Linked DNA regions of Pelodiscus sinensis. The protein of the gene in region 1 purifies or fractionates together with the protein of each later gene. This does not show direct contact. Links are inferred from orthologs where the notes say so. Each region holds a gene or a part of one and is shown on either strand. Other genes may lie near its edges. The genes, in order: CHD4, SMARCE1, ubiquitin carboxyl-terminal hydrolase 36 and ZMYND8.

Evidence for each region.
Region 2: the proteins of CHD4 (region 1) and SMARCE1 purify together in Homo sapiens (affinity purification with western blotting; 3 studies listed by BioGRID, with this or other methods). This does not show direct contact. The link is inferred for Pelodiscus sinensis from reciprocal best matches to the Homo sapiens genes CHD4 and SMARCE1.
Region 3: the proteins of CHD4 (region 1) and ubiquitin carboxyl-terminal hydrolase 36 purify together in Homo sapiens (affinity purification with mass spectrometry; 3 studies listed by BioGRID and IntAct, with this or other methods). This does not show direct contact. The link is inferred for Pelodiscus sinensis from reciprocal best matches to the Homo sapiens genes CHD4 and USP36.
Region 4: the proteins of CHD4 (region 1) and ZMYND8 purify together in Homo sapiens (affinity purification with mass spectrometry; 7 studies listed by BioGRID and IntAct, with this or other methods). This does not show direct contact. The link is inferred for Pelodiscus sinensis from reciprocal best matches to the Homo sapiens genes CHD4 and ZMYND8.

What each region holds. Positions count from the first base shown.
Region 1 is NC_134711.1:138,730,067-138,737,532, reverse strand, and holds the start of CHD4 (chromodomain-helicase-DNA-binding protein 4), read right to left. Parts: upstream 3,013-7,466; 5' UTR 2,857-3,012; intron 1,636-2,856; 5' UTR 1,562-1,635; coding exon 1,459-1,561; intron 1-1,458. UniProt on the Homo sapiens protein: ATP-dependent chromatin-remodeling factor that binds and distorts nucleosomal DNA. Acts as a component of the histone deacetylase NuRD complex which participates in the remodeling of chromatin.
Region 2 is NC_134739.1:10,452,010-10,459,928, forward strand, and holds the start of SMARCE1 (SWI/SNF-related matrix-associated actin-dependent regulator of chromatin subfamily E member 1), read left to right. Parts: upstream 1-4,918; 5' UTR 4,919-5,124; intron 5,125-6,897; 5' UTR 6,898-7,038; intron 7,039-7,601; 5' UTR 7,602-7,645; coding exon 7,646-7,652; intron 7,653-7,919. UniProt on the Homo sapiens protein: Involved in transcriptional activation and repression of select genes by chromatin remodeling (alteration of DNA-nucleosome topology).
Region 3 is NC_134730.1:29,153,237-29,161,184, reverse strand, and holds the start of ubiquitin carboxyl-terminal hydrolase 36, read right to left. Parts: upstream 3,018-7,948; 5' UTR 2,898-3,017; intron 1,879-2,897; 5' UTR 1,741-1,878; intron 423-1,740; 5' UTR 378-422; coding exon 125-377; intron 1-124. UniProt on the Homo sapiens protein: Deubiquitinase essential for the regulation of nucleolar structure and function. Required for cell and organism viability.
Region 4 is NC_134728.1:21,915,377-21,922,195, forward strand, and holds the start of ZMYND8 (MYND-type zinc finger-containing chromatin reader ZMYND8), read left to right. Parts: upstream 1-3,808; 5' UTR 3,809-3,823; coding exon 3,824-3,859; intron 3,860-3,967; exon of another isoform or gene 3,968-4,164; coding exon of another isoform or gene 4,165-4,173; intron 4,174-6,819. Other genes in the region: translocating chain-associated membrane protein 1-like 1, read right to left, coding at 3,415-3,534. UniProt on the Homo sapiens protein: Chromatin reader that recognizes dual histone modifications such as histone H3.1 dimethylated at 'Lys-36' and histone H4 acetylated at 'Lys-16' (H3.1K36me2-H4K16ac) and histone H3 methylated at 'Lys-4' and histone H4 acetylated at 'Lys-14' (H3K4me1-H3K14ac).

The DNA.
Region 1 (7,466 bases):
GGGGCTGCACACAAGTGCGAATCAAAAAAACCCAAAACACCTTCTCTGATATGGCCCCTAACTAAGAAGGAGAAAAACATTCCCCACATCCTCCTCACACACCAGAGTCTTTGGGGGCCCAGGCTAGTAGATGGTGTGTGCTCCAGCTCTGCAGGAGGCCTACAGCATCAGCATGGGCTCCCCAATGCTGGGAGGGAGCCTTAGGCCTCAGGCCTTAATCTCCCCACCTCTGATCTAAGTGAGCTAACATATTGCATAGAAGACCTTAGCATACCCCTAGGAGTATGCATACCCTGGGCATAGCCCTGGTTAAGAGCCAGGGACCTAAGTGACTTCCCTGCCCCAGACTCAGACGCCTATGTACGAGGTAGGGATGATTTTAGAGTTCCTTTCTCAAACTCCTATTTTACACTGTTGCAAAATGAGTTGTACATCCATATAAGTCAGCAACAGATCTGGGAATAGAACCTGAAAACTGACTTTCAGCATCCAGGGCTCTAACCTGATTCAGATTCTCAGACAGAGACTTCAGTTACAGTGAAAGCCAGGTATGAGGCCTGAAGAGGCAAATACTAAGGCAGGGATTTTTAACTTTTTTCTTTGGAGTGTCCATCCCCCCCCCCCCACACACACACCATGCTATAAAAGCTCCACCCATGCCACAACCTATTTTTAACATATAAAGCCAAGGGCAGAATTAGGGGGTAGAAAGTTGGGCAACTGTCAAGGGCCCTGTGCTAGAGGGGGCCACCATGAAATTAAGATGGCTTGGCTTCAGTCCCAAATGGTAGGGTCCATGGCCCAGGCTTTTGCCCCATACAGTGGGGCTTTGCCTTTCCATCCTGGATCTCAGCAAATCTGGTGCCAGCCCTGCTTAGTAAACTCCCTGAAACCTACTCACAGCCCCCCAGGGGTCCCTGGATCCCTGACTGAGAGCAGTTGTACTAAGTGAAGTGCACAGGCAAGCTACTGATACAAAACACAAAAACAGGGGCTAAGGTGAACAGTGTAGAATGATCCATGGGAAGCTTGGAGAGTAGGGTGTGGTGAACAAAAAGTGGGTCATGCAATAGCCCAAGGCAGTTTCCTCTGGACTGTCAGCAGGTCTGAGCTCCCAGATGGATGAGAGGAAAGCCAGACACCTTGCCCTCCCACATACTGGTTCCAGTCCCAGCCATGGTACATACACCTTGCTGGCAACACACATGCCCCATTAAAACCAGACTCCCTGTCAGATGGATTGCCAACAGCCTGCACTAGCTTTGAATAAAATAATTTCTACTTCACCAAGGTGTGCAGACCACAGGTTTTAAAAAGGCCACAATAAAGAAACCAAAATATTCTAATCACCTGGGCTCTTAATAAAACAAAACTTATCATTTACATGCATCACCCATTCAATAAAACTGATAGACCCACTACCACTCCTTTTTACAACGGTAGCCCTGGGCATCCTACCTATACCTTGGTGCTGGGCAATGCTGTTATTCAGCAGGATCTCCATCTCCTCATCATCACTGCCAGCAGAACAAGGGGACGGGGAGCCAATGCCCGATGCCATGTCCTCCAAACTGGGGTACCCGGGCTCCAACAGCTTCTGCAGCCTTGTCTCCTCCTTGCCAGTCAGGCCAGTAACTTAGCATAAAAAAGTTAACTTTGATAGTCAGCACGAACCCACGTTCCCATACAATAATGTTACCCAATGGATGACCTACATTAGAAGGCTTTAAAAAACATCAGTATGGAATTTAGAACTGCTCGCCCCCCAAATAAGGGAGGAGTAGAGAAGAATGGAAATGCTGAGATTGGGCACTAGTTGAGGGTCCTGATGGGGGCAGTTTTGTGTCTACTGGGAATTAAACTGTCAGGAACGGACTGCAGGCAAAGGGCCACCAAATGGCAGTCCGATGATAGTTTCCAAACCCTTTCTGACATGACGCCAGACTAGCCCCGGTGCAGTAGAGCATGGCTACATGGAGTTCGGGGGCTTTTAAGTCAATCGGTCACCATTTAATTCGAGGCAGTTAACACCTTCGTCAAAGCTGCTCTTGATGACCCCTCACCCCAACTTTTGTGGCTTTACTACTCCAGGGAGTCAGCCCCGGCTGAGCTACCGGCGGGTGCAGCAGGGAACAAGTGTTTGAGGAACAGCCAAACTCGCTTTTGCAAAGTCTTCCCTGCCTCGAGCTGGCGATCAATGGACGGGAGGGAAAGCTCCAAGGAAGACCGGCTCCTAGCGGTGCGAGAGACCCGCGTCGCAGCCGCCCCCTTCCCCACCGGGCCCCCACCAAAACCCTTTCTAGTGCCGGGGGCCCACGTGCCCCCGCCCCACGGACCCGGCGAGGCAGGACCAGCCACAGCCGCGCGGTCCAGGGGCCCCACCACGCCCCCGGGAGCCGCCCCCCGCCCGCTTTCACGCAGGCAAAACAAAGGCGAGCCCGTGGCAGGCGCCGCGCGGGCTCCCGGCGAGCCCGCCCCCCCGCGCACAAGGAAGGGGGCGGCAGCAGCACGCGGCCAGCCGGGCTCCTGGCGGGGGGCGGGCGCAGCTGCGGCTCGGGGCGCGCGGCCAGTCCCGGGGGGCGGGCGGGGCGGCCCCGGGCAGCGCGAGGCGGCGGCGGGAGCGGGGCCGTTCCCCGGGCGGGGCGAGGTAGCGCCGGGGAAGGAGGGTCCCCGGGCGCCGCGGCCGCTCCGTGCCCAGCGGGGACACAAGGCGGCCGGGCCGAGGTCGGCGCCCCCGGGAGCCGGGGGGAAGGGCAGCTCCCGGGGCCGGGGGGCGCCGCCACGAGGGGTCAGCGCCGCGTCCTGCCCTTTGAAGCGATGTTGGGGGTTGTGTCCGGTCCCTGCCCCTCTCCTCACCCAGCTCGCCCCCGGCTCCTCGCTCTCGCTGCCGCCGCTGAAGGGAAAATGGCCCCCGCTCCAGCACCACCTCTTAAAGGGGAAAAAACCCGACCAGGCCCCTCCCCGCTCCCGCTTCCAGCCCATAATATGTCCCGACACCTCGGCAATGGGTCCGCCCCCGTCACCCTGGCAACCCCCTAACTGAGACATCCCATAATACTTGCCCTCCCTTTAGAACTCCCTACTCACTGGCCGGCCCAGCATCCCATAATAATCACCCCTCCCAGCAGGAACATCCCATAATACACCCCTCCCTCTGAGAAACATCCCATAATATTCCTCACACTTCACCCCCTCACTCAAACATCCCATAATATTACTCCTTTGCTAAAACATGCCATAATAGTCCCCTTCCCTCTCCCTCACAGAGACATCCCATAATAATTGTACTCTCCCCACACACTCTGACATCCACTCTCACCCCCAGTATCCCATAATATCTCTCCTCCCCATACCATTCCCCCCTCCCTCGTCCAGACATCCTACCATAATCCCCCTGCCTTGTTAAAATATCCCCTAATACCACACACTCACTGTCCAACCTGGCATCCCATAATAAGCACTACTCCCTCTACAACTCCCCCCCCAGACATTCCATAACAGCCCCCATAGCATCCCATAATAGTCATACCCCAGACAGATATCCCATAATAATAGTCGCCCTTCTCATCCTCCCCTCTCAGCCAGACATCCCATAATAGTTGCCAGGAGCCACTGTCCAGCCAGACATCCCATAATACTCTCAGCGATTCTTAGCCACAACCCACAATACTCCCACTGACTGCTTGCTCCCCCACTCCAGCCAGGCAGCCCATAATAATCACATTCATGTATTTCCCCCCCCACTCTACCCAGACAGACCAGAAGGCACCGGTGCCATCTGAATAGCCCACAGTACTCAAGCATGGAGACAAGCATCCTGTAGTACTACCTACCAATCCCTCCTCAGAAAATCTAATAATAATACTCACGATACATACTCACCATTCGCCCCACCCCCACTTCCCATCTACGCAGACCATAATAACCACTGGGGGCACAGGGCCAGCCATGCATCCCATAATACTCTGGCACAGACTGCCAGGCTTCTTTGTTCCTCCAGATGATACACTCAATGTATCCCATAATGATCAACACCCCCCTCCCAAACACACACTCAGGCAGGTAGCCCATAATATTCACTGGAATCAGCCTCTAGCCAGACATCCCATAATAATGATGTTCACCCCACTTTTAAAAGTGAATCAAGCATTCAATCCTACATATAAACCCCATTAAGGAATGCCATCCTACAGAACAGAAGAACAATCCATGTGAACAACTCTGAGACTCAAACATCCTACCAAGGTCAGGCATTATCCACCTCCCACTCCCAGATATTAGACATGTCCATCTCTTAATGATATACATCTTCATGGTATAAACTTAATAGTATCTTTATCCCTTCCATTTTATACATGGACTTCCCCTAATGGTATTTGTCCTTCTTTATAAAACACACAGCTATTCTATAACTGTGTCCTTCCCATTGTGTGTATATGTATATATGGACATCCCATAAGATTATTCACATCATTATATATACAGACATCCCATATTACAATCCTTGCATGCCCTAATAATATCTATTCTATCCCATTACACACATTAATATATTATCTAACCATTCCTTTATACACATGGATATCCCATAGTATTGTCCTCCCCTTTGTTGAACACACCAACATCCCATAATACAATCACTAATAATCCCTTACTATACACATGTAAATCCCATAATAGCACCCATCCCTATTTATGTGCACACAGAGACCATAACACTATCCACCCTTCCATTAGAGGTATCCATATCCCAGTTATATACAGACTTCCATATGACTATCCGTTCTTTTCATTATCCATATGGACATCTTACAGTATATACACACCCCATTGTAACCACAGGCATCTCATGTCCTTCCCTTAATACTGTATTTCAGTGGTCCCCAACCTTTAGAGGCTCCCGGGCGCCTGGGGGGGGGGCCACTCACGCTCCGGGCACCCGGGGGGGTGGAGCCATTCACGCACCAGGCGCCCGGGGGCGGGGCCGCGCGTCCTGGGGCACGCCAGGGGCGGGGATGCCCTTGCACCCGGCGCCGGCATGTGCCCCGGGGCCGGGGCCGGGGCCGCCCAAGCGCCTTGTGCTCAAGCTCCCCCACTGCCTCATCGTGGGCTGGAACATACAAAATCTGCTAGCCTGCATCCCTCTAGGCTCTGGCATGCAATGGTAATGTGGGGAGTATCTTTCACCTTCTTAGTCTGGGGCCATGTGAGTGAGGGGTTTTTGTTTTGTTTTGTTTTTTTTGGGGGGGGTTGCTTTTCATTTGTGTGCAGCCCCCGATTGATTTTTCTGTGGGTCAGTGGTCCCTGGCTCAAAAAAGTTTCCTCACCTCTGTCCTACACTGTCCATTCCTCCCAGTAGACACATGAACATCACTTAATACTACTCATTTTCTATTATACATGGATATTCTATAATGCTATCCAAACCCCTTGTTACATACACACACCTCCCACAACAGTATCCATCTATTGTTATAAACACAGCTACCTCATGATCAGGGCCGAACGAAGGCATGGGCGAGCCGGGCAGCTGCACAGGGCGCCAACCGATGAGGAGCGCCTGATGGCAGCTGTAAGAGGCGCGCGGCGTCCCTTACAGCTGACAACAGGCGCCGTGTGCCCGGCTTCCGCAGTGCCAGCCCCACGGTGCTGGCCAGCAGTGCCCTTGCCCTCACGGCTGTGGGGCCCTGCACAGCCTGGCACACGCGCCAGCAGCACACACCAGGCTGGGCTGGGCAGCGCATGCGCCATGCGCCCGGGGAGGGGGGTGTCGCGCGCCCAGGCCCAGAGTGCCAAAAGGGCTCGGGCCGGCCCTGGTCATGATACCACTGAAGCCTCTCTAGTACACATAGCCATCTCATAATACGATCTTTTCTTTGTTATAGTCATCCTACAATTCTGTCTATTCCCCCTTCCCCTGTGAAATAGTTACCCCATACTGCTATCCATTTCTCTTCACTCTGGCTATGTCTACCCTACACTTTTTTTCCAATTCTTTTTTCGGAAGAGGCTTTTCCAAAATTTGGCCCATCTACACTGGGCCAAATTTCGGAAAAACCTCCTCTTTCGGAAGTGCCCTTATTCCTCATAAAATGAGGAATACAGGGCTTCCGAAAGAGCGCATCTGCTCTTCCGAAAAAGAATTCAGAAGAGCAGACGCGTTCCCTGGATGTGGCGGAGTTTTTCTGGGATCCCGGAAAAATTCCATAGTGTAGACATGAGCCATGAGCATACATCCCATAATACACCTCTCATTATACACATCAGCATCCCATAATACTATCCATCTTATACACACATGGACGATTGACATCCTCCAAATTCAGTGTATGTATTTACACTACTATCCAAACCAGACTATCCACCTTAAAATACTTTTTACTACTCACAGTAGTACTTTTACTACTCACAGTAGTACTTTTACTACTCACAGTAGTAAAAATACTTTTACTACTCACCATCACTTTCCACCCACCTGTACACACACACACAATACATCTCTTCACCTCATTGCTTCAGTTTTTCAACTGTAAAGTGGAGAAAATGATACTGTCCTTCCTTTATGTGAGACGTATAGACAAAAATGCTGCGTAAGAAGTGAAAGATGTTACTCTTACAAATATTACTGGCAAGCGCCCAGTCTATCCACTGTAATAAACTCTATCACCTATTATAGACATGTACATCTTATCTTCATCCTCACTATACATGCAAATGTTCCATAAAGCTGTCCATTCCCTCTTTACACACTGATATCCAGTAATGCTATCAGGGTTGTGGTTGTTTGGGAAGAACCATAAAGCTTCATGATAAACAGGTCAACTGTCTACATACACAGCTGGTTATTACAGAGTTCTAGATATATCCCATACAAATTTCATCTTTATGGGTGTGATCAAGTTATTAAAGGTAACACAAGGCAGAATCTCTGGAACCAGGCCAAGTATCAAAGTTATGTCTCTGTATACCCTATACTACTTTTCCATTTAGGGTTATGATCTTGGGAGGACTACATGCTACCATGGTATAACACAGGCCTGTTTTGCAACATATATTTGTTTGGATGTCATGATTAATGTTAATCCTCTCCCTCTCCCTCATTATTCTTCATAAATGAAAGTTTCTCATTCAGCAGAAACCTTAATTCTGACCTGTAGTAATGCCATGCAAAAACATGCTTGGTTTAGAAAATTGTTCGTTCCCTGATACTAATTGGCTGGTCATTGGTCTTTGCTCCGGTGTCCATTTTGACTTGAGAGGAACTTCCTTTATTTTTAGGTAACAAATCATCCATCATGGTAGGTTGAGGCCTGCTTGGAGTTGAAACAGGTCTCCAGCCCTGTGATTAGACTGTTCATATCCATCTCTCATGCTAGGAGTTTTCTGTCCCCTTTGTTAGACTTGGGTTCAGCCTACACTTAATCTGCATAGTGGTTTTAACTACCAAGCTTCTGAAAAATCTTTTC
Region 2 (7,919 bases), on another chromosome or scaffold:
CCAGGACCAGAAATCAATCAAATAGAAAAAAAAAATCAGACTTTACTGACATACAGTATTTTGGCCACACACTAACCTGATGAAACTAAAGGTAACGGAAGTTATTTACTTTAATCAGAGCACAACTACATGCTAAGTTATTCTGAGTGTGAAAGTCACTCAACTCACCTACAAGTGAAAGATTCCCACAGTATAACTCTAGCCTCAATTTCTACACAATTCTTGTTTGCTGTTTAAAACATCTGGCACCAAACCAGCTATGGTGTTTGGTGAGTACAAATTGAGTTGCAAGAAAAAGAGCAGCACAAATAGTTTAAATGTTGGGTTAGTTAATTTAGAGAATACCGAGTTCATGCTGCTCTGTCCCCGGTATAATCCTCTCTATTACATGAAGTCTGTTCTTGATTTTAGGTTTTATAAGCTGCAATATGAGGTGTTGATATTTTAAATGTGCATTCTATTTTAAATTACATTTCCTCCACTTACAGTAAAAATATAAGTGGAGATTTTTTTAATGGATTTTTCACAGAGTCATACTTTTCAAAGTTAAGAGATTTATTTTCTTCTCCCTGTACTATCAGAACAGTCAATACATCAATATGAATTATGTGTGTATATATTGACCAAACTGTCTTGGAATTTGGTCACTGTATAGTGATACTCAAAAAGCTCAATACTGAGGGACTACATGATTTGGGATTGAGCTACTGCCATCTGACAAAAGTAGAATGACCTTTGAGAACTTAAGTTTTATTGTCCCATAGGTCATTCTGCATCCTACCATTTCCTAGTAGAAGATGCAGAAATCTCAGCAGTTAAACCAAAGATTAAGGGCTACATATTGCCACCTTTATTTATAAAATCAAAGGACTACTTATATAGCAAGATGCTAGTCAACCACCACACAAAGCCCTGGTCTACATTAGAGAGTTATTTTAAAATAACCCCCCTTATTTTGAAATAAACAAAGGATCCACACTACCAAGTTCAAAATAACAGGCTGGTCATTACAAAATCTATATTCCTGCTTTCCCTGGGGAATAACACATATTTCAAAATAGTTATTTTGAAAGAGCATCCACACTAACAGTACACTGCTACTATTTCAAAATAACTACTTCCCAGACTAATTCAAAGTAATTATTCCCCAGTCCTTTCTGGGGCTCTAAGTCAAGGAAGCATGTCCACAATAATGGAGCCTGCCTCAGACTAATGTCGAGGCTCCCCCCATAGTGGGGACATGCTCTTTTGATTTTATTTTGGGTGTTATTTCTAATTTAGTTATTTCAAAATGATTTCCTAGTGTAGACATGCCCTAAGGGTGGCAGAGTCTGACCTTAAACAAATATGGAAAAGAAATTTAATTATCTTCTCATGATCTGTCTCTCCAGATCATGATACAGGCACTTTGTTGGCACAATACGGTGAAGTTTGTATTGTTGTTGCCTGTATTTTATATATTTCCTTATGAATAAATAGAGTACTGTCATGCACCTCTTCATACATATAATGAAAGAGCAGAAATCAACACAACTTTGCTAATCAGTGGAACACATACAATAGGTTTGGCATGTCAGCATGAAAAATGAAATATAAGAACACACACCACACCCGTACATTAAATATCTGAGTTAGATGCATAAATCCTGTTTTAGATTTTATCTTTCCTTTTAATTTTCTATGCATACAAAATAATTATTTTTCTTGGCAGATCTATAATACATGAAGTACAGAAAACTTTCATACTGTAATTAACATGATACTTTGTGTGTGCCAATAGGACTTCAAAATATCCACCACTAACATACAATGCTATAAGCAGGATTAGGAGGGAAAACTTTTGAGACTGCTTGACAGTTACTGCCTTGTCAATAAGTACAACATAGATCATGAATCCCTGAAACTTCCTCTTGTGTGAAACCTTCCACCTTAGCTTTCACAAATTATTTGAGAACCGTATAAAAAAAATATAACTAAAATTTGCACATTTGAAAAGAGAAGTAGTCAATAGCTGGTAGAAGAACTGAATTCCTGCCAAATTACTTCAAACGAGACTCCATATTGTAAACACTTTCCAGGATTGGACCTACGGACTCTTACAGAGCAGTCATATCACCCATTCAGACTAAGGAAAAAAAATCTTAAAGTCTGTGGGAGTTTTACTGAATTAAGGGTTGAATGTTATGTTGTACTTTAAGTATCAAAGTGTTTACATTTAAGCCATCAATGGATAAATATGCTACTGTTTCACTGCTGAAAACATGTCATGATATTTTTCAATTAACATGTCTGAGGAGACAAGGTAGGTGCAGTAATGTCTTTCATTGGAAAAACTTGTTTGGGGAAGAGTGTGTAGCTCGACCGCTTTTCTCTCTCATTGAAGCTGGTGCATAAAAAGATATTACCTCACCCATATTGTCTCACTAATATCCTGGGATAAATTCACAACAAGAACTCTGCATATACCTACAAATGCAGGATCTTGGGGAAGAAGGTGTCCTTTCATCACTTTGAATGTAGCTATTTTCTGGTAAAATAATGCAGAAGGTACATTCCCTCTTCTAGCAACTGCAGAGTAAATCTATTTCCAGAAAGAAAAATACAAGACCTAAATTACAATAAAGGGCATGTGGGAAGAAAGTGGTATCGATTCACCCACAACCCAGTGACTGTTCACTCCAGTGGAGCTATTCTCATTGTTAAGTGCTCAATCATATAAAGATTGCACAGTTGTGACCAGCATATACAAAAACCAATGAGAAATATTTCAAAAACATAGACTCATATGACTGTATCTAAGAGCATTTTAGCATTTTCATATTATCAAAATCACGTTATACTAGATTGGAGAGAAAAGAGTGGTGTAATGGTGTGAGACCAAGAAGGAAAGCAAGAATTAATGGACCCTACTTTCACCTCTACTACCTGCACTCTTCTCCAGAAACTCCTTAACTAACAGCAGGTAAAAACTTGAGTGAAATGGTATTTTGCCAATATAAAAACAATATTCTCACCTTTTTCACATAAATTTTCTGATGATGTATAATGGTGGTTTAAAAAGAAGTTCATAAAAATATGTATTTTGGTTCCCTTTGTTTTTTGTAGCCAAATGCAAGTTATGGATTTATCCCTTGTACTTGAGCAAGGGATAAATTGTGAGCCAATGTGGACCTTGACCTTCTATTTATTTGAAAAAGTGACAGATCTTCAGTGACCAACATCTGATTAGACAAACTCTGAATGTCCCAGAGAAAACACTGGCCCTTATTTCTAAAGACAAGTATTTAAGAGAACCATGTCCAGCAATGCCTCACCCTGGGCGGAGGGCAATCCATAGGATTTATGGGACTCTACGCTGTATGATTAAATTGATGTCCCTAAGCCTGATGGGGCAGCTGGGTGGATGGGGAAGACAATTTTTTAGAATTGTGCTTTTATAACCTTCAGCAAAATGCTAACAACATATTTTTAAAACAATTTTAAACTAGTCCTGTAAGTTTCTGAATGGACAACATATACCTGGAGTTTACAAATGTCTGTTAAATGACTTCATTACCAGTTGAATGGCTCTTTCGCAGGTTCAGGGTTCTGCTAATAGCTCTGGCAGGCTTTTTTCACCAGATCCTCTCCAGAGGAAGCCACAAACCAAGGAAAGGAAGAAGCAGATGTATGGACAGTCACATTAAGACCCAGTGGTTCCTCAAATTTTCAAGTGTCCTATGCAGGGTATGGATATGGGTATGGATAACTCTTCCTCAATATCTCTATTTAAATAGCTGAGTGCAGCCTTTAGTGGGGCATGCATAGGGTTATAAAATAACCATCTGATGCAGCTTCTCATATTATTGCAAAAGCGACGAGGAGTCCTGTGGCACCTAACACGGCTACCCCTCTGATACTTCATATTATTGCAATAAACATACATGTGGTGCAGGGACACCTCAGATAACTATGTGGGTAGAGACGCTTCCTCCTATATCAGTAACTATGCCAAGGCACATTATGTTGCAATTACAGTTGCCAGATGGTTTTGGAAAAAATACCAAATATCCCCCCTCCCCCAAAATATCCCAGGCCAGGAAAAAGTTTGTTGGGGGGGGGGGGGGGGGGGGAAGTGGTCCCTTTAAAAAAAATGCATGCTGAGGCTTTTTGGCACTAACAGGCTGCAGGTGGGCGTCCACCATCTTGCCTCCCTGCACTGGGCCAGACTGAGCACTGGGGCTGCCGGGCTGCCTCCATATTGAGCCAGACAGTCTGGGATTTTCACCTCCTAGCTAGGAAAATAGGGGCCATTTTAAGTGACGGGTATTTTCTGAATTTTTTTTACCACACAGGAGATGAAAATACAGACAGTCCGTTTCAATACCAGACCCCTGGCAACCCTACGCATGGCCGTCCCTGGGGCCGGGACACCTGGTTTTTAAAGGGGCAGCTGTAGCCTAGGCACCCGTGTGTTATAACCAGGAGGCTGCAACCGAGGCCTGCATAGCAGAGAGGTGCGACCTGCATCAGCTGGTTCCTTAGAAGCCAAGGCGGAGAGCTGACAGGAGGCGCAGCGCGAGTCGGCGGCCGGCCACCGCCTCTCCTCAAGCGACGGCTTGACAGGCTGGGGGGCGCGAGACTAACGGTCGCGAGAGGGGGAAAAGGCGCCAAAACAGTGGCGCGTGTCCTCCGAGGCGCGAGAACGAACCTAAAGGCCGCGAGAACACAACGCTCCAAACCCCACCCCCACCCCGGGAGCTGCGGCGCGTCACGGGGTCGCGAGTCCCTTGCGCGCCTCCTAGCGCGCCATGCGGGTCACCTGACGTGGCGCCGCTCGTCACGTCAAGCGGTCTAGCCAAGCTGTTGTGCCTCTTGGCTTTCTCGTTCGGCTCCGCAGATTCGCCACAGAGCAACCCTCCTTTCCCTGCCCTGACGGGAGACGATAAAAATTCCCTGGGTGTTGCGGGAGGGAGCCTGGCCAGGAATAAGCCAGGGGAGGGAGTGAAAAAGCGGGGGAGCTGGGGACTCCGTGTGGAATGTGCTGAGGCGGAAGGGCGGGCGGCTTCCCCCGAGTCGCTGCTGCCCACTCAGGAGCGCGCTGTTGGCTGAGAACAAAGGGGGCCCAGGCCGGTGCTGGAGCGGGTGAGTGTCTGAGGCGATGGGCGCTGCGTGAGTGGGCCCGGCACCGGCCCCGCGAAAAAGAGACCGTGGGAGAGTGGGGGGAGGGCAGTGGGAGAGCGATGCCCCCCCCGCGTCCACGCCCATGGGCGGAGGAGTAGCCAGCCCCCGCCCCCCACGCACCTCGCAGGGAGAGGGAGAGACACACGATGCCCCCCCCCCGCCTCCCCTACATGCGCTTCGCGGGGGGGAGGGGGGAGAGAGTGGTGCCCACGGACACCCCATGGGCAGGGGGTAGCCAGCTCACTCCGTGCAGGGAGAGCAGAGAGACAGCGGTGCCCAAGGGAGGGGGATAGCCAGCCCCCTTCTGGTGCTTTGAAGTGGGGAGGGCAGTAGCTCGTCCCCTCCATGCATCCTTGCAGGGAGAGGAGAGAGACAGTCATGCCCAGAGCAGGGGGAGTAGCCAGCCCCCTCCTTGCACCTTGCAGGGGAGGAGGGCCATAGCTAGCCCAATGGTTTTCACAGCTGGATCAGGGACTGGCCTAGGTAAACTGCTGTGGGGCCCACAATGCTTTGTTTATCTAAGGGTGTGTCTAGACTATAGGGTTCTGTCGACGAAAGTAGACTTTTGTCCACAAAATTATACCTGCGTCTACACTGCCGCTGAGTTCTGTCAACATAGCGCCGACAGGACTCAGCAGTTTTCTCAACAGCTGTAAACTTCATTCTACGAGGAATAACACCTTTTGTCGACAGAGTTCTGTCAACAGAAGGCATTATTGCATCTACATTGTCCTGTGTGTCTACACTGTCATGTTGACAAAGCGGCTGGCTTTGTCGACAGAACTGGATGTAGTCTAGACACTCTTTGTCGACAGAAGCTTTGTCGACAGTATCTGTTGACAAAAGCCTGTAGTCTGGACGTACCCTAAGTGTCCATAACTACAGAGCCTCACAGCTCCTCTTGGCTGAAAATGGCAAACTGCAGCCAGTGGGAGCTGCTTACACATAAATAAACAAAGCATGGGGGGAGAGGAGCCTGCCTCTGGGTTATGACCCAATTTTGAAAATCACTGAGCTAACCACCCCCCATGCACCTTGCAGGAGAAGAGAGGTAGCTAGTCCCCCTCTTCATGCACCTCACAAGGAGAAGGGAATGGTTCCCTTTCCCCCTCCTTCCACCTTGAAGGGAGAATAGGCTGTCAGCAATAACGAAGGAAGCAATTATTTCTTGCCCCGTTCCCAAAAATGGTAGCGAAGAAGGCAGGTACTATCCTCCCTTAAGCAAGTACACCTGCTGTAGTGACTGGTACCATGTCTGCATTTGTCATGCCGGAGATCAATCTTTTGGTATTCAATTTAGTGGGTCTAGTTAAGACCTTCAAAATGAAACTCAGGGCGGCTCTGGTTGGTGCCAGTACTCCTAGCAGTCGTGACAAGTAAAGGAAGTAGACTGGACTCCCTCTGTGAACACTGTACCAAGGTCCACTTAGGGTAAGCCAACTCCAGCAACGTATTTTACGTACCTGGAGTTGCATACCTTAACTCAACCTTCCAGGTATAATGTTTTCAAAGGTACCCTTACTGATTGGAGTAAAACTCTCAAGGTGTAAAACCCTGTGTTCAGAAGTGACATGGCTGTGTTTTTATCACCTACGTGCTTAGTATGTGCCTCATCTTAAAAAAAAAGTTGTAAAATTAGTATGTTACATATTATGTTTGTATATTTTGTATATTCCTTCCCATTCACCCCAAAATTGGATGAATAATGAGATCTTTCTGTTGTTCTCAAGCCAGGCCTCCATTTAAAATTGACCTACTGAAGCATTCTTTTCATTTAACCTTGTTGGAATCTCAACTGAGAGCATAACTTCTTTCGTAAGAGTTATCCAGTGTCGCCTACATTCCAGACCATCCATAGACCTTGGGCATGGAAATGTACGTGCCTAAGTACTTTATTATGTGTGGAAATAATCACGGGTTCAGCATTGAAACCTGTGCCTATAGTAGTGTTAATATTTGATGCCATAGACATTATTTATGTCAGATGATGAGCATTTACAGGATTGGGACCAATTTTGCTCTCTCAAATCCAATAAACTGTGGAAAAACATTGGAAATGCTTATCTTGTGTCTACATGAAGTAGTAGTACAGATTATAGGGCTATGATTTCTAAAGCATACAAATGTTAGCTGGTGTGTGCTACAAGTTCCCTTGTGTGCTTTAACATGGTGTTGTTTTAAACAGTACTGTGCTACATTAAAGCACATTAGCGAACTTTATACAGATTATTTATATTACAGGCTATACAATGAGCCCCTCAAAAACCTCATTGGACATATACATATAGCAAAATTGCTAAAAAATAAACCCCATAAAATGAAATTAATAAATTCTGAAAAACAGAAGCTCTAATTATGTTCTTTGTTTTAACAGTTCATGAAAACAGAAAGTGTTGTATTTAACAGTCTGACACTGTGTTCTCTTTTTTGTTTTTCAGAATTTGAGATATAATGTCAGCTGGCTGAAAATTTATCTGCCAAAATGTCAAGTAAGTTTGTATTTTTTTTAAATGTAAGACGTCTGTTCGGTGGCACTTACTTTCATGAATAACATTGCTGTTACATGGGAAAGGGCTACTACACCACGAAAATTATAAGAGGAATATTATCAGGTACAGTAATTATAAGTGAACTACCAATCAGTTAGTACTAAATATTACAGCAGTTCATAGCCAACATTGTGCACTGAGGATTTCTTTTAAGTGTCCAAAAGGTGAAAGGAACATGCAAGCATCCTACCTGCCAAGCTGCATAAT
Region 3 (7,948 bases), on another chromosome or scaffold:
ACGCTGCAGGAGGGCCCCTCGCCGTGCCACCCGTAGCGCGGACGAGCCCAGCAGGCTGGCACATCCTGGGAAGACGAGCGGCTCCCAGAGAGCCCCCCCCCCCCCCCCCCAGTCCTCTACGCACCCTGCTTCCTGATCTGGGCCTCATCGGAGCTCTTCTGGCGACCGGCACTCTCGGCCCTGGGGTTCAGCAGGACGTACTTGCCCTTCAGGGTCTCCAGCTGGTAGGAGAAGCTCTTGCTCGCCGGCTCAAACTCGATCTTCTGCAGCAGGATCTTCTTGGCAGACGACGCCAGCAGCTTGCCCAGCTCCCCATCCTCAGCAGAGTCCTTCCGGCCTGGCTTGAGCGCCTCCTTCAGCTTGTCCACGATGGGCATGGCGCAGCGGGGGCGGCTCAGCTGGCTACCCGGGGACGCGTCTCTCTGCAGGGGAGAGCAGGAGGAGTCTGGCCAGGCGGGAACTGCCACAGAGCGCCCAGAGCCATGTCAGACACGGGGGGGGGGAGGGTCAGTCTGCAGGAGCCCTGGCCTGCCAGCCCCCCAGAGAGCTCAGCACGCCGGTCAGCGCCGCCCTCCCGCTGCCACGGGGCCAGCGGAGCGTCTCCGCTCTGCCAGCTACGCTGGGACCTGCCCAGAGACAGCCCATGGCTCCGCGAAGCAGGGAGAGCCAGGAAAGGAGTTATGGGTCCCAAGAGCACCAGGCCACGCTCCACACTGCTCCCAGACCCACCAGCAGCTCCCTCTACCCCAGGGCTGGGGACCCTGGTAGGGTCGGGGGCCACACGAGCAAGCAGCAAAAAGAAACACCCCTCACAGACACGGCCCCCGGCTGAGGAGCAGAAATAGGGGCGCGAGCAACTGGCTGGCTAGCAAATGCCAACTCCACCCGTCACTTCCCCCCCTTTGCTGCCTCCATCAGAGAGAGGCAGCAAGCGGGGGGGGGGGGGGGGGGGGGCAGAGGCAGGAGTCAGTGCTGGGGATGGGGGGCAGCTGAAAAGCCGGTCCCCCCTGCACTGCCTCTGGGGGGGCAGAGGGGAAACAGCGCGAGGGGGGACTGAAGCAGCCCCTGCTCCCCCCACGTGGCGCTGGCTAGATTTCTGAATCAAGCACTGCAGTGGGAACTAGGGGTGTCGGACACTAGTCGACTCCTTGCTTCCCCCCCTCGTTGCCTCTAGGACAGACAGCGGGGGGGGGGGGGGGGCAGGAACCAGTGCTGGGGGAAGCTGGCTTAAAAACCAGTTCTCCCCAGAACTGTCTCCAGGGCTCCACCTGCCCCCCACTGCTTCTATAAGGGCAGGGGGGATGGGGAGGCTGCTGCTAAGCACCCCCTGTCTGCAGGGGTCCCAGTGGGGAGCAGCCCCCGCTACAGACAGGCTCAGTCCCGCTGCAGCGGCTCCACGGCCCATGGGGCTAGCTAGGTAACGGCAACGGAGCATCCTTAAGCAGAAAGGCCCCTCGCGCCCCAGGGCCCTGGGGCCAGGCGACTCGCTGTCTGTGCGTCAGCCCCATGGGGGGCGGCTGGGCCTGGAGCTCCAACACGGGCTCCCCAGTGCCGTGGGGAGGAACCCCCATCTGGGGGGGCTGACCCCCCGGGCCTCAGGCTCCCCACCCGGCCCCACCTGGGCAAGAGCCGCAGGGCGCAGCCCCCCCACCCCCGGCCGGACACAGGCAGCGGAGCGAGCTCCTGGGCGGCACCGCAGGGCCCCGGCCCCCGGCTCCCCCTGCGGCGCGGGGCTCTCACCTCCAGAGCCGGGGCTCAGCCGGCCCCTGCGGGGGCATCTGCGCTGGCGGGAGCGCCCGGGCCCGGCGCAGCGGGGGAGCCGGGGGGCCACTGCCCTGGCAGGGGGACGCGCTGCTCCCGGCCGGGAGGGGACACGGGCTGTGGCGGAGGCGAGGAGGGTCAGACCAGGCCGGGCGGAGACAGACCCGCCCCCCCCAGCAGGGACCGCCCCTGCGCCCCGCAGCGCACCCGCCCCCCCGCTCGCCCTGCTCCCCCCGCCCCCCAGGCCGCCCGGCCCCCCCCCTCGCCCTGCTCCCCCCGCCCCCCAGGCCGCCCGCCCCCCCCGCTCACCCTGCCCCCCGCTCGCCCTGCTCCCCCCGCCCCCCAGGCCGCCCGGCCCCCCCGCTCGCCCTGCTCCCCCCGCCCCCCCAGACCGCCCGGCCCCCCCCCGCTCCCCCCGCCCCCCCAGACCGCCCGGCCCCCCCCCGCTCGCCCTGCTCCCCCCGCGCCCCAGACCGCCCGGCCCCCCCCCCCCGCTCGCCCTGCTCCCCCCACCCCCCAGGCCGCCCGGCCCCCCCCCCGCTCGCCCTGCTCCCCCCGCCCCCCAGGCCGCCCGCCCCCCCCGCTCACCCTGCCCCCCGCTCGCCCTGCTCCCCCCGCCCCCCAGGCCGCCCGGCCCCCCCGCTCGCCCTGCTCCCCCCGCCCCCCCAGACCGCCCGGCCCCCCCCCGCTCCCCCTGCTCCCCCCGCCCCCCCAGACCGCCCGACCCCCCCCCCGCTCGCCCTGCTCCCCCCGCCCCCCAGACCGCCCGGCCCCCCCCCGCTCGCCCTGCTCCCCCCGCCCCCCCAGCCCCCCCCCGCTCGCCCTGCTCCCCCCGCCCCCCCAGACCGCCCGGCTCCCTCCGCCCCCCCAGACCGCCCGGCCCCCCCCCGCTCGCCCTGCTCCCCCAGACCGCCCGGCCCCCCCCCGCTCGCCATGCTCCCCCCGCCCCCCCAGCCCCCCCCCGCTCGCCATGCTCCCCCCGCCCCCCCTGCCCCCCCAGCCCGCCCCCGCTCGCCCTGCTCCCCCCGCCCCCCCAGACCGCCCGGCCCCCCCCCGCTCGCCCTGCTCCCCCAGACCGCCCGGCCCCCCCCCGCTCGCCATGCCCCCCCCGCCCGGCTCGCGCCCCCCCCCGCTACCTGCTCCGGCTCCGGCCTCTCGCAGCATCCGGGCCTCCGCGGCCGCACACGTGTCTGCGCCTTAAAGGGGAGGAGTCGGCGCCTGCGCGGGACCCGCCACATAACCCCCGCTCCCCGCGCTCACCGCCTCCCCTTTAAGGGGCGGGGTCTGCGCAGGCTCCGCGCCGTGACGCGATGGCGTAACCTCGTCCCGCTGCGCCTTCTGCGCGTGCCACCCACAGCCCCGCCCCCTGGCCGCGTGGCCCCGCCCCCGTGCCGTGGCCGGGAGTTCCGCAGGGCGGCGCGCCCGCCCGGCTGCACGCGGCTGCCTGTAGCGCCCCCTCCTGAGTCCGCCTGGCACGGGAGCTTGCCACAGCCCTGCTCCTCCCTGCCCAATGGCCCGTCTCATGTTTCCCACCCAAGGCGGAATAAATGTTGTTCTGTGCACCAAGGCATGTGCGGATGTGCACCACCAACAGACACACACGCATGGGCACTGTGCTAATTAGCCGGGTGGAATTTAACCTCTCCTGGCCGGAAGCCCAAGTGCTCAGCTTACGGGAACCCCATCTCTCCTGCCCTTCTCTGTCTCTTTGCCGGTTCCATGGCTGGGTAGCTGCAGGCTGTAGCCAAAGCATGGGCGTACCATGGATTTCTACGGGGGCTGTGAGATCTTGTGTCGTTTCTGTCCCTTGCCTGCCGCTTCCCACCACTGTTCGCTGTTCCTGCCGCTGCACGCTGAGTCCTTGTTTTCAGAGCCGTTGTTCTTGAGCGGTGGCCGCGCAGAAGGCGCAGCGGGACGAGGTTACGCCATCGCGTAGACCCATCATTTGGTGCCTATGGCCAGGACCATGTTTCCCAATGCGCTTGACTCTGCATTTATCAGCCCTGAACTTCATTTGCCATTTTGTTTTGTTGCCAGTTGCCCAGGCTCTGCCCAGTCTGCTTTGAACTTAGCTATCCAGAGTAGTTTTGTATCAGCTACAGACTTTGCCACCTCGCCCTTTACCCCCTTTTCTAGACCGTTTCTGAACCTGTGCAACAGCCCTGATCCCAGGACAGGTCTTGTGGGGGCACCACTATTTACCTCTCTAGTTTGAAAACTGACTGGTGCTGCCATCTCCAGTCGTCAGAGAGGGGAGCTGTGTTAGTCTGTGTCCACAAAAACAGGAAGTCCTGGGGCCTGGTCAAGAGTAACATTTACGTGGGCATAAGCTCTCTGGGCAAACACCCATGTGTCCGACAAAGCGGGTTTTTGCCCAGGAAAGCTTATGCCCAAGTAAACCGGTTAGTCTTTATGGTGGCTCTAGACTTTCCATTTTGAGAATTTCTTTGCAACCATGAAGCCTAGAAATGAACTGTTTAAAAAAGGAGGCTGAGATTCCCCTATAATCACGTGAACCCAGGAGCAGGGGCTTTAAGAAATATCATCAGATTCTGTGCGAGTCGGCAACACTGACACTGACTGGTTATTTCTACCCTGCGTTTCCTGTCTTTAACCAGTCACCGATCCAGGAGAGGCACGCCCCTCGTCTCCCACGACAGCTTCCTTTGCTTACAAACCTTTGGCGAGGGACCTTGAGAAAGGCTTTGTGAAAGTCCAACTACTCTGTGTAGGGATAACATATTAAAGTATTAAACATGATTCCCCCAAGTGGAAGTGACTCCTCATAATTTGTTCCCCACAACTAAAAGTCTAAGTAGTATAAGTTTGTTAAGTAGAAGCAGCATAGAAGTGTTTAGATTTATTCTTGTTAAAGTGTTTAGATTTAGTGTTATCAAGCTTGATAAGTGTTTAGATTTATTATTATTATTATTTGTTAAGATTGTTAAATGTTTAGATGTATTACTATGTAGCCAGAAACAGCTCCCCTCTCTGTGTTCCAGGGCTTGAAATTGACATTGCAGGATACATTGTAACAATGCATTGTCAAGCCACTAACTCTGCTCTGGGAGCCAAGCCCTGTAATTGACTAAGGGCATTGTTGTAACTATAGCAGTCACTACTCAGCACTCAGAGAGAGAATGTTTTAAGAAATGCCACCCAGAAACTTGTGACTTTTGGTAACTACAACTCTTGTCTATGTAAAGTTATTATACAAAATACTGTCTGGGAAACATTCATTAGGGAATGTATGTAAGAGAGAGAGTGCTTGGATGATGAATGAATGGTTCTGAGAGGTGCCAGCCTGAGAATGCAGCAACAAAGGGCTGAAGAAGGCGTCAGGTGCCAGTGCAACCAAAAGGTGTCAAGTGGAGAAAACCAAGTACTGGAGATCCACCTGATGAGATCACTGACCAGCACCTGGCAGCCACCCTGGACATCAGCATGATGCAGCAATTCCCATAGACTGGCATAGGAAGAAAGTCCTATAAGAACTGGACTAAAAGACTATGGAGTCAGAGTCCAAGGTTCTGCTGCCAGCCCACCAGGAGCTTCAGATGCGCATCTGATCAGGACTTCGCTCCCCACTCCCATCACTTGTGTACAGAATACCTGGCCAGTATTCGGTCACAAGCAACTTCCAGACTGGTAACTGTAACAAATACGCAGAACCTGGATGAATGGATGAATGAATGTTTATATGTATAATGTGTGTGTGTGTGTGTGTGTGTGTGTGTGTGTGTGTGTGTGTGTGTATGTATAAGGGTTAAGTGGTGATAGGAATAAGTAGTTAAACAACGTTGTTTGCTTCTATCTTTTCTTTATTCTTTATTATTATCTTTACAATAAATGTGGCTTTTTGCCTTATCCCCCTCATAAGATCCTGCTTGCTTTTATTGGTACAACACCTGTGTCCATTGGATCACGCTCGTCCACATCTTGTCCTCGAAGAGCTCTAATGGCTTACACTTTCCCCAAAAGACTCCCTCTCTCTCTCTGTCTCTCTCTCTCTCTCTCTCAGAGTAGTCCATGTGCAGGATGCAGCGCATGGATCTTCTCTTGTTTCAGGCTGTTTGTTCCTGCAGGTTTAGGCCAGTGTCTGGATTTCCAAAGGGGGCCCCACCTCCATTCACCACTGCCCGAGGCTAGGCTGGTACTGCATCCTCCTCCCCCAAACTCCTCTTTTTCCTGCTGCATGGCCTTGGCCGGGAAGAGGAAGCTAAAAATCTCCCAAAGGGTCCACACCTCCATTTGAAGTTCTTTAGGGGTCCACAGATTAAAGTGTTGTAAACTCTGCCAGCATTATTTGACTATTGTTGTCTGACCCGCTCCTCCTGCAACTGTGAATATTGCCGTCAAAACTGGGCGGGGGGAGCTCTCCGAGAAACACGGATATTAGCCACTGAAATGATAAAACTGGCATTGTGCCAAGCCGAAATCCTTGCTCTCAGTAATCATGTTGCAGCACTACTTGCCTGAGGAGCAGCTCAGCAGGACAGCCCCTCGCCATGTTAGGAGCAAGCAAGAGCTGAGCGCGTGGCCAGGGCAGGGTTTTGACATTTGCTGGGGGTTCTCAAGCATGGCCATTATAGCGAGAGCAACACTGGGCCGATCTCTCCAGGGGTCTCGCCCGGAGCTGTGGGTTCCCAAAATTGTACATGAAGAAGGCTGATGCAGCGGAACAACTTCAGCAACAACAAACTTAGCCAGCAAAACTTCTGCACTGAGGGAAGTGGGCGGATATCTATGGCACAGCCCCCCCAACGCTGGGTGGATTACTCACCCGCTCACAGCCAGTCCCACATGCACAAGCAGATTGGTGCGCCTGTCTAGCATCCCCAGTTGTATGTGGTACTTATTTCCACAGCCCCAGAGAGGTGCAGCAAATTCAGAGAGGAAAGCATTTCATTTTGTACAATATTGTTTATTGTCCAAAGACTGAATGTCCACATATGAATTATACAGAGCGTCAGAGACACGCACAGTCTGCTTGTCATTATTCAACAACTTTCATGTGTTTCCAGCACAAGAAGGTCTCAGACTTCAGATTCCAGCAAAAACATATTGCTCCAAAAAAACAAAAAAAAAACCAACCCAAAAAACCAAACCAAACAAAAACAACCCCACCCAGAAGCTTTAAATTATGGCAGCAAGTTCGATGCTCCTTATTTGTAATACTTATCAAGCAAAGATTTGAAGAGCACGATAGTGTAAACTTTATTTTTTTAAAATATTTTGAGTTGCTTGCATGGAAAAGGGGACTGGAGCTAGGAAGAAAGGCAGAGAATGGAACCAAGAACCAAAGGCATAAATTAAAACAAGCCAATCGACCCTCCTTCATACACTTGACAGAGAGATGTTTGCAATTCTGTCGTGTGAGGCCCCCTGCTCTTGGAGACAAACTAGCAAGGCCTTGCTGAACAAGAGGTAAATGGATGGGACCTCCCATCCCCCATCCCATATTATTAGTAAATCCAACTTCTGAAGACTTGTGCACTTGGCAGAAGAGGGGGACCCGGGAAGGAGGAAAAATACAAACTAACAGGAAAATCTGGAGGATTCAACCCTCCACAGACTTTCTCGACATTCGTCCCGCTTCATGTTGAATGCTTCCAATGCAGAAACGCGTTTTAAAAAAATAAGTGCAATTCTAATACCTAACAAGGAAATTTAAAAGTTACAGCACAGGAATGATACAGCTGATGCCAAAACAAACCGAAACATTAAAATCAAAGAGAGCATTTGAGACAGGAGTAAATGTCACATATGATATAACCGTACAGTAAGCAAACAGGAGTCTTATATTGGAGTGATTAGGTTTTTTTCCTCTTCATTTTTATATACTGAAAATCACCCAGACTGGTCCAGTATGACATCATTAAAAGCCTACACCGATGCACAGCATGAAAATGCCCCGGAAGCAGGTCTGCAGGGATAATTTCCAGACACTGGCTGGGCCTACGTTAGCCAGGCTACGCAGGTTCTCACAAAGGTCCCGGCTGGCGAGGCAGCGCTCTAGGGCCTCAACACAATGAAACTGGCTCAGGAGAGTGGGGCTGAGGGTGGCTGGGAGGGCTTCCCAGAAGACTGCGGGGCCGGGGCGTGTAGGCAGCCAGATGTCAGGTTGGGCTGCGTGCCTGCACGTGCATCGTCACGGCACAGGATGGGCTCATGCTCCCAGCCCGGG
Region 4 (6,819 bases), on another chromosome or scaffold:
CCCTGAGACTTCCCGCTGCATCCATGGGCTGGATCCAGTGGCGTGGCAGGCCAGATCTGACCCGCGAAGGGTGTTTTTCCTAGGACTTGTCTACATGGTGCAGAGGTGGGGGGCTCACACCAGGTCCTGGACTGCTGCATGTCCATCTTTTAAATGTAGTAGTAAGAGCCTGGTGGCTCTTGCTACATTTAAAAGGCAGAGCTGCAGCAGGCATCGTTCTTGGACCCCACCTCACCTTATCGACTAATTGTGTAATCGATACAAACTGTACTGACTACACAATTAGTCAATTACCCGCTTCTTAACATCCTTACCCTGTGCTACAACAAAAAGAAAAGCAATGCTGGGCAAAGTTCTTTCACACATTGTACCAGAAGGAAAGGGAGGAGAACAAAAAATTGGGTCTACCCATAGATCTGTCACTTATAAAATAAGTTCCATTTTATACGTGGCCTAGACCCCTTTACAAATCTGCCAGTTCTACATGAGGCTGCATTCCACACGTGGCAAGGACACCACCCCCACCCCAAAAATGATAGTCAAAACACTTCAAGATGCAGAAGAGGAAATCTTTGCAGTGCCCTGAAAGAAGAATGGAAATAGAGAGGAGTATGTAGACCCTTCAAAGAATGACCAGCACTTCAATGTTTTAATTTAATTTATAATAAAAGCTTTTTTTTTTTTTTTTTAAGAAGTTGATAGCATATATTTTCTTACTTATCTGGACAAAGTTCTCACTTTTCAGGATGAATGAATTTTTCAAACCACAATGTCATCAACAACTGTTGAGATCTAGCACCATCAAAACAACCAAGTGACCCTGATCTGAACTCTTCTGAACTTTCATTACATTGACAAGCACAGCCCTCTACAAATGGCTGTCCATGATCATCAGGAACTTTAAAGGTTTCTTAATCAACTTTTCCAAAAATTGCATTACAGTCTTAAAAGTTAACTTGCTACACAAGCTCACCTTTGCCTATTTTGCATAATTTGAATTGATTGCAATAGCACTGTGTATATGCATTTTGCATCAGACAGAAGAACGCAACACAAAATATTGTTCTTTGAATGCAGCTGAATATTCCCAGCACAAACTACATTTAGAACTGTACTTGTATGGCTAGGTCAGTTATGGGTGTAATATTTTATAGCTATAGTTAAATGGGTTTAACCTCACTATTTATGAAATTATACTGCCTGACATAAACACTGCTTATTCTCCTTCCTGTACAGCAAGGGTGGCCAACCCAAGGCTTGCGAGCCACATATGGCTCTTCTTCCCCCCCCCCAACCCCGGGTGCAGCTCATGAAGCCTCCCCCTGCCCCCATGGCTCGAAAGCCTCCCCCACGCCCCTAAAAAAAGGCCTCTCCTCCCAGCTTCCTGTGCTGACCTGGGCAGGGGAGCTGTCTGGTGCAGCCATGAAAGCAACAGAAATAAAGATGGCGGCAGGTGGCGGGAGCCTGCTGTGGCCCAAAAGCTTCAAAACGCGTTTCAATGCGGTTTCTTAAAGGGGCAGAGCCTTTTTTTAAAGAGGTGTTTTTTTTTTTTTTTTGCTTGACCAAACATGACCAGGGGCTCGTTTTAAAGGGGCAATCTTTTTTTTTTTCCCCCCTCCTCTACAACTTTGCCCCTTTCAACTCTTTGTGCTGGATCCACTGCTATCTTGGCTCTTTGCCCAGAATGGGCTGGTCACCCATGTTGTACAGGAATAAACTATATTAATATCACACTGAGTGCTAGAGGGGCTGTAAATGTTTGTTTACACACAGGATCGTACTGACTTTGGACAAGCAAGGATTTACAAACAATTTCGCAAACTGTTTGTTTTTAGCATTCTAACTTTTGACCAATTCATCCACTTTAACTCATATTCCAGGGATTCACATGACAAAATATCCTATTAGTCCGCATAGGAGGATCAAAGTTTTTCCACCTTCAGCCTCCTCTTGTAACTAATGATTCTCCACAACTTCACTTTCTATCCCAGCATTCTATCTGCGTCATATAGCCGCTTTAGTTTGTACCACTTCTAATGCAGCACACTACAGCATCACCCAACTTAGCATCTGTCATTTGTTTGGAGGGACATTATTTGATTATCGTGACTCCATTATCCACCCTTTTCCAGCATAATTCACTGAATTCTAAAGGACTAGCATAGCAGTAAAGAACAAACCCTTAAAGATAATACTTCACACTGCGTAATATCTTTCAACCCAGTATTTCAAAGTATTTTCTCATTTTTAAGTATTCTTATTTTAAATCTAGCTCAAGGTGATGAGTGATGTTTGGATTGTTTCAGTAACAACTTTCCCAGACATAAATTGTCTCAGCTTGGAAAACCATGTTTCCAGACAGTCCTGACATCTCCCCTTCCCATCTACCTCCACAAAACCCCAAACAAAAGGCAAACAACCTGCCTTACCTGTTTCATTAGGTTGCCCCATTCTTGAGAGCAGCAGTAAAAATCAAACTAAACAACTTACAGACTAACACAATGAACTCATACAGCATCATGACACAACAATTTTATTCCAGAGAACAAAACCTAAAAAATTCAGCCAAATCAAAGGTGTCATCTTCATTTAATTAGAAAAAGTTAACTTTAAAATACATAAGAGAAGAGGGATTGGGAGACAAGTCTAAGATTGTGTCAATACTAGCATTTTTCTTTAGATCTCCATCACTGACTGACCTGAGTCAGTGAGAGCAAGAATCATCAATAACAGAGGTGGACTGCTGGTACCATTTCAACTGCCATGTCATCCGACCCTGCTCATAACAGGTCAAGCCAATCTGGTGGTTAAAACACCAGTGGCCACCTGGAGCTCTATTTCCAATAACCCACGTTTCCACCACTGCAAAGTTTCCACGAAAAAGTTCAAACCACGCCCGAGAGAAAAGGCAGGTTGGGCTCCAAGAGCATGGATGGGAATGAGGGGCTTGCTGGGAAGGAATACGGGCTACAACTAATGTGAAGGGGCCGACAAGGGAAGCTGTGTGGCAATAGGGATTCAGGAGGGCAGGTCGTGAGCTAGGGGCGTCGGATACAGCGGAAAGGAACGAACGAGCATGAAGGGTCCGGGGATAGACAGCAATGACAAGAGGGCCCGGATAAATAGCATGGGGACCAGCGCACGGGGGAGATGAGAGCGAGGGTGTGTCACAAGGCCAACCCTCGGAGTGAGGCGCTGGGGAGGCAGGAGAAACGGGGCCCAAGCAAGGACAGGTCTGGGGAGAACGGAGCGCGCAGAAGAGGATCGCGACCAGTAGTGAGATGGGTGTGAGACGAGGCTCGGCCGCTGCCCGCAGACCAGCAGCGGTGGCGCAGGTCGGAAATAACGGTATGGCTCGCTTGGGACGGGTGCTCCCCGCTCGGCGGCCGCAGGTAGAGCCCCCAGCCCCCGTACCTCGAACATAAGCCCCAGCAGGAAGCCCATAGCCAGGCAGGACACGGCGTCCGCATGGTTCTGGATCACGAATTCATGGCTCAGCACAGCTGGGCTCTTGTTCTTCCTTCGGAGTCCCATGGTAACCCCCGAGGGCCTAGCAGCCGGCCGGGTCCAGGAAAGAGGTGGTGATTCTTCCTCAACAGCCCCCTCACCTCACGCACAGTAAACACCCCGGCTTTTCGCCGCCCGCCCACAGCTCAGCATCAGCCAGTCTCAATCCAGGAGCACAATGATTGACAGTTGTCCTGGTTAATCGCCGTGCCACTGGGAGGTGTGGCTTTCAGAGAGGGGCGGGGCAAAAGTCGCCGTTTGATTCTCGGAATAGCTCTCGCGGTCCCCAGGAGTGACACCGACTCCAGCTAATGAGATGAGCCAGAGGGTGGGGCATGTGACTCCGCCTGCGGTGGGTGGGCTTTACAGAAGACAACTAATGCAACCCTTTGGAGGGGAGGGCGGAAGCGGGGTTGTCGCGGTTGCTAAGGTTTCCACTCCGTTTTGTGGGTGGAGCTCGGAGCGGTAGCGCGCGCTGCTTGAGGTGCTGCTGCTATTGGCGTGGCGGCGGTAGGCCTCTGCGCGCCGTGCTTCAGTCCTACCAGCCAGTGGCTCTAATGGAGATGACAGGTCCTAGTAGGTCCCGCTCCGTCCTGGTTCCGATGCTGGGGTGCCTCTTCTGGAGCTGACAGACCCATACGAGTGGGAGGCGGCTCTATGGAGAAGGCAGGTTTCAATAGGCACCGCATTGTCGTCGTCGCGGCCGGCTGGCTGTCAGTCGTGTGAACTGAGTGGCTTCGCTCAGGTCCCTGGAAGTGGTGCTTTGTCGTAGCGTGTCAGTCGCAGCATCCAGGACGGAAGGCCAACCGCGTAGCCCAGAAACAAAGAGTTGCAGGCTGGGGTGGAAAGCTCTTGTATCTTTGTAGTGGCTGCGGTGCTGCCCCTCAGACCTGGCTGAAAAATGGAGGGTGCGGGGAGTCTGAATGGAGACTAATTTTCTCACATGGAGGGAGGAACTTTCATTAAGATGCCAGGGGTCTTTATTCCCTCATCTACTCAAAAATTCATTGAAACTTTCAGGAGTTTCCATGGGCAGTACTGTTGGTCAGTAAGGTAGAGGGAACTTTCTGGAATTTCCTATGCTGAAATAAGGGAAATCATTGTTAATGGCCTGAGGAAACAAACAATGGAATTTTGAAAGGGCGTCCTAGAGAATGGCCTGAAATGATGGGTTCTTCATCAGAATCTTGAAAGAATTCAGGTGACAGAAAAATAAAAGGTGTTTGGCCTCATCCTCTAATCCAATGCGTGTAGCTGGAAACTTTGAATCCACGCTGAACTGGAATTGACTACAGTAAACTGTGACTAGTCCTGCAGTACATTAGAGTCTAACAAAAAATGTAGCTGGTATCATGAGCTTTTGTGGGCACAACCCACTTCTTCAGATGTGGCAAGCTCCACCTGCATGGATCAAATTGCAGAAAGGAATTTAAGTGGGGAGTGAAAACTTAGTATTTGTGACAGGAAAAAGCAGTCCTAAAGTTAGTATCACTTTTCACATCATTTATTACTTAGCAAATGTTGCATAAATTCCAATTAATATAAAATAACTTATAAAATAACTCCCTAAAATTACTTTTTACTTGATCTCAGTGATATTCCTAGGAATATTCAATTACTACATTTTTAAATAAATCCAGTTTGGACACGTTCAAGCTGAGAATGTTAAAATGAGTGTATTCAGCTAAATGTGTAACCACTGACATTTTCAATGGTTACACATCTAAAGGGGGGAGGGGAGGCAGCAGGGTGGGGGCTCTGTGTAACCGTTGAGGTTACCTGATGAGCCCATGCTCATCGGTTAACTGACATATTGACACTACCACTTAACCTAGTTCAGGCCCCATTTTTGCTCTCTGTCAAAGTTTCAGGCATATGTAGTGCAGGAAACTGAATTTCATGTTTATATTCACTTCAAAAGTATTTGTATCATTTGTTTGGGAATCAGAAACAGCATGTGTTACTTGACTCATTGTCAAGTACTCTCAGTGAACTTTTTATAAATCATGATCAATTTACAGTGAAAAATATTTGGAACCTTTTGTTCTGATACCAATTCTTGCAATTTAATCACAAGTCTGGTGATATTTAGTGTTTTTCTTTAAGATCCAGCTCCTTTACATTTAAGAATCTCAGGTTTTCTGAAGGTTTTTTTTTAAACTTCTATGATTGAACAAAAAGCTGTGAAAGGTGAACCCCAATGACTCGAAGCTAATAAAAAGGCCTAATATTATTTTAAAAATTATTTTAGTTAAATTTGTGGGGGGCCTAATGTATGACATTTGAGCATTTAGAGTGGGTGTACTAAATATATCTGAGGAAAACCACTCACTGCGTTTCTGCTAATGGAAGACAAGCCTGAACTTATGCAATAAATTATTTATTACAAAATAATAAATATTTTATTATTTATTCAGCTGTACTGAAGACAGTACTGTAACTATTTTAAATGTAGTTTTGTGACGTAATTAATTTTTAGCATCAAAGCAACTAGTAAGTGAGCTTCAAAATAAAGTTGTTTCTGGGTTTGAGCCAGGATGAGGTTGCTAATATTGTCTTGGTATGCAGAATGAACAGTGTCTTTCTGTGAAACTTTAACATGATACAATAGCAATTGGTCATATTCTGCTATGCATGAGTAAGTAGAAAGGATTAATAATGAAATTGTTCTGACCTAGTAAAAAAAAGTCAGTGACATTTTCCCAGGGTAAATTATGGGATGGGATTCTGTATGCTTTTTCAGGCATCGGATATACTTTTCAGTACTTGGCATTTTTATTTGTAAAGTTAATGTAAGATTTACTGGCTGCCTCTGGCATTATCACATACAGTAAAGAATGCATTAGCTGAATTTAACCGACAATTTGCTAGATGATGCTAGAGACAGAATATAATATATATTGTTCTTTGTTAGCTGTATTGGGTCTAAAAAAAAGGAAATGAAACCTGTATTTTTCCTTAATTCATATGCTGATATTTGACAGACAACGGAATCAGATGATTAAGGAAGAGACTTTTTTTTACAAATATATCCCCAGGTGCTTCAACATACTGTGGGGACAATCTGTAAAATGGGAAGATGAACTGATTTCACTGGGTCATCTGCCAGCTCCTCATGGGTCTATACTGGCAGAATTTTTCCATTATTGATGCCTACCTCTTCTGACCATTTCCAGATTTGAATAGTCTTGTATTTATTTAAGTCATGTAAAACTGCAGTGTTATTTCACAAACAATATGTACATAAGAACATAAGAACGGCCGTACTGGGTCAGACCAAAGGTCCTTCTAGCCCTGTCTGCTGACACTGGC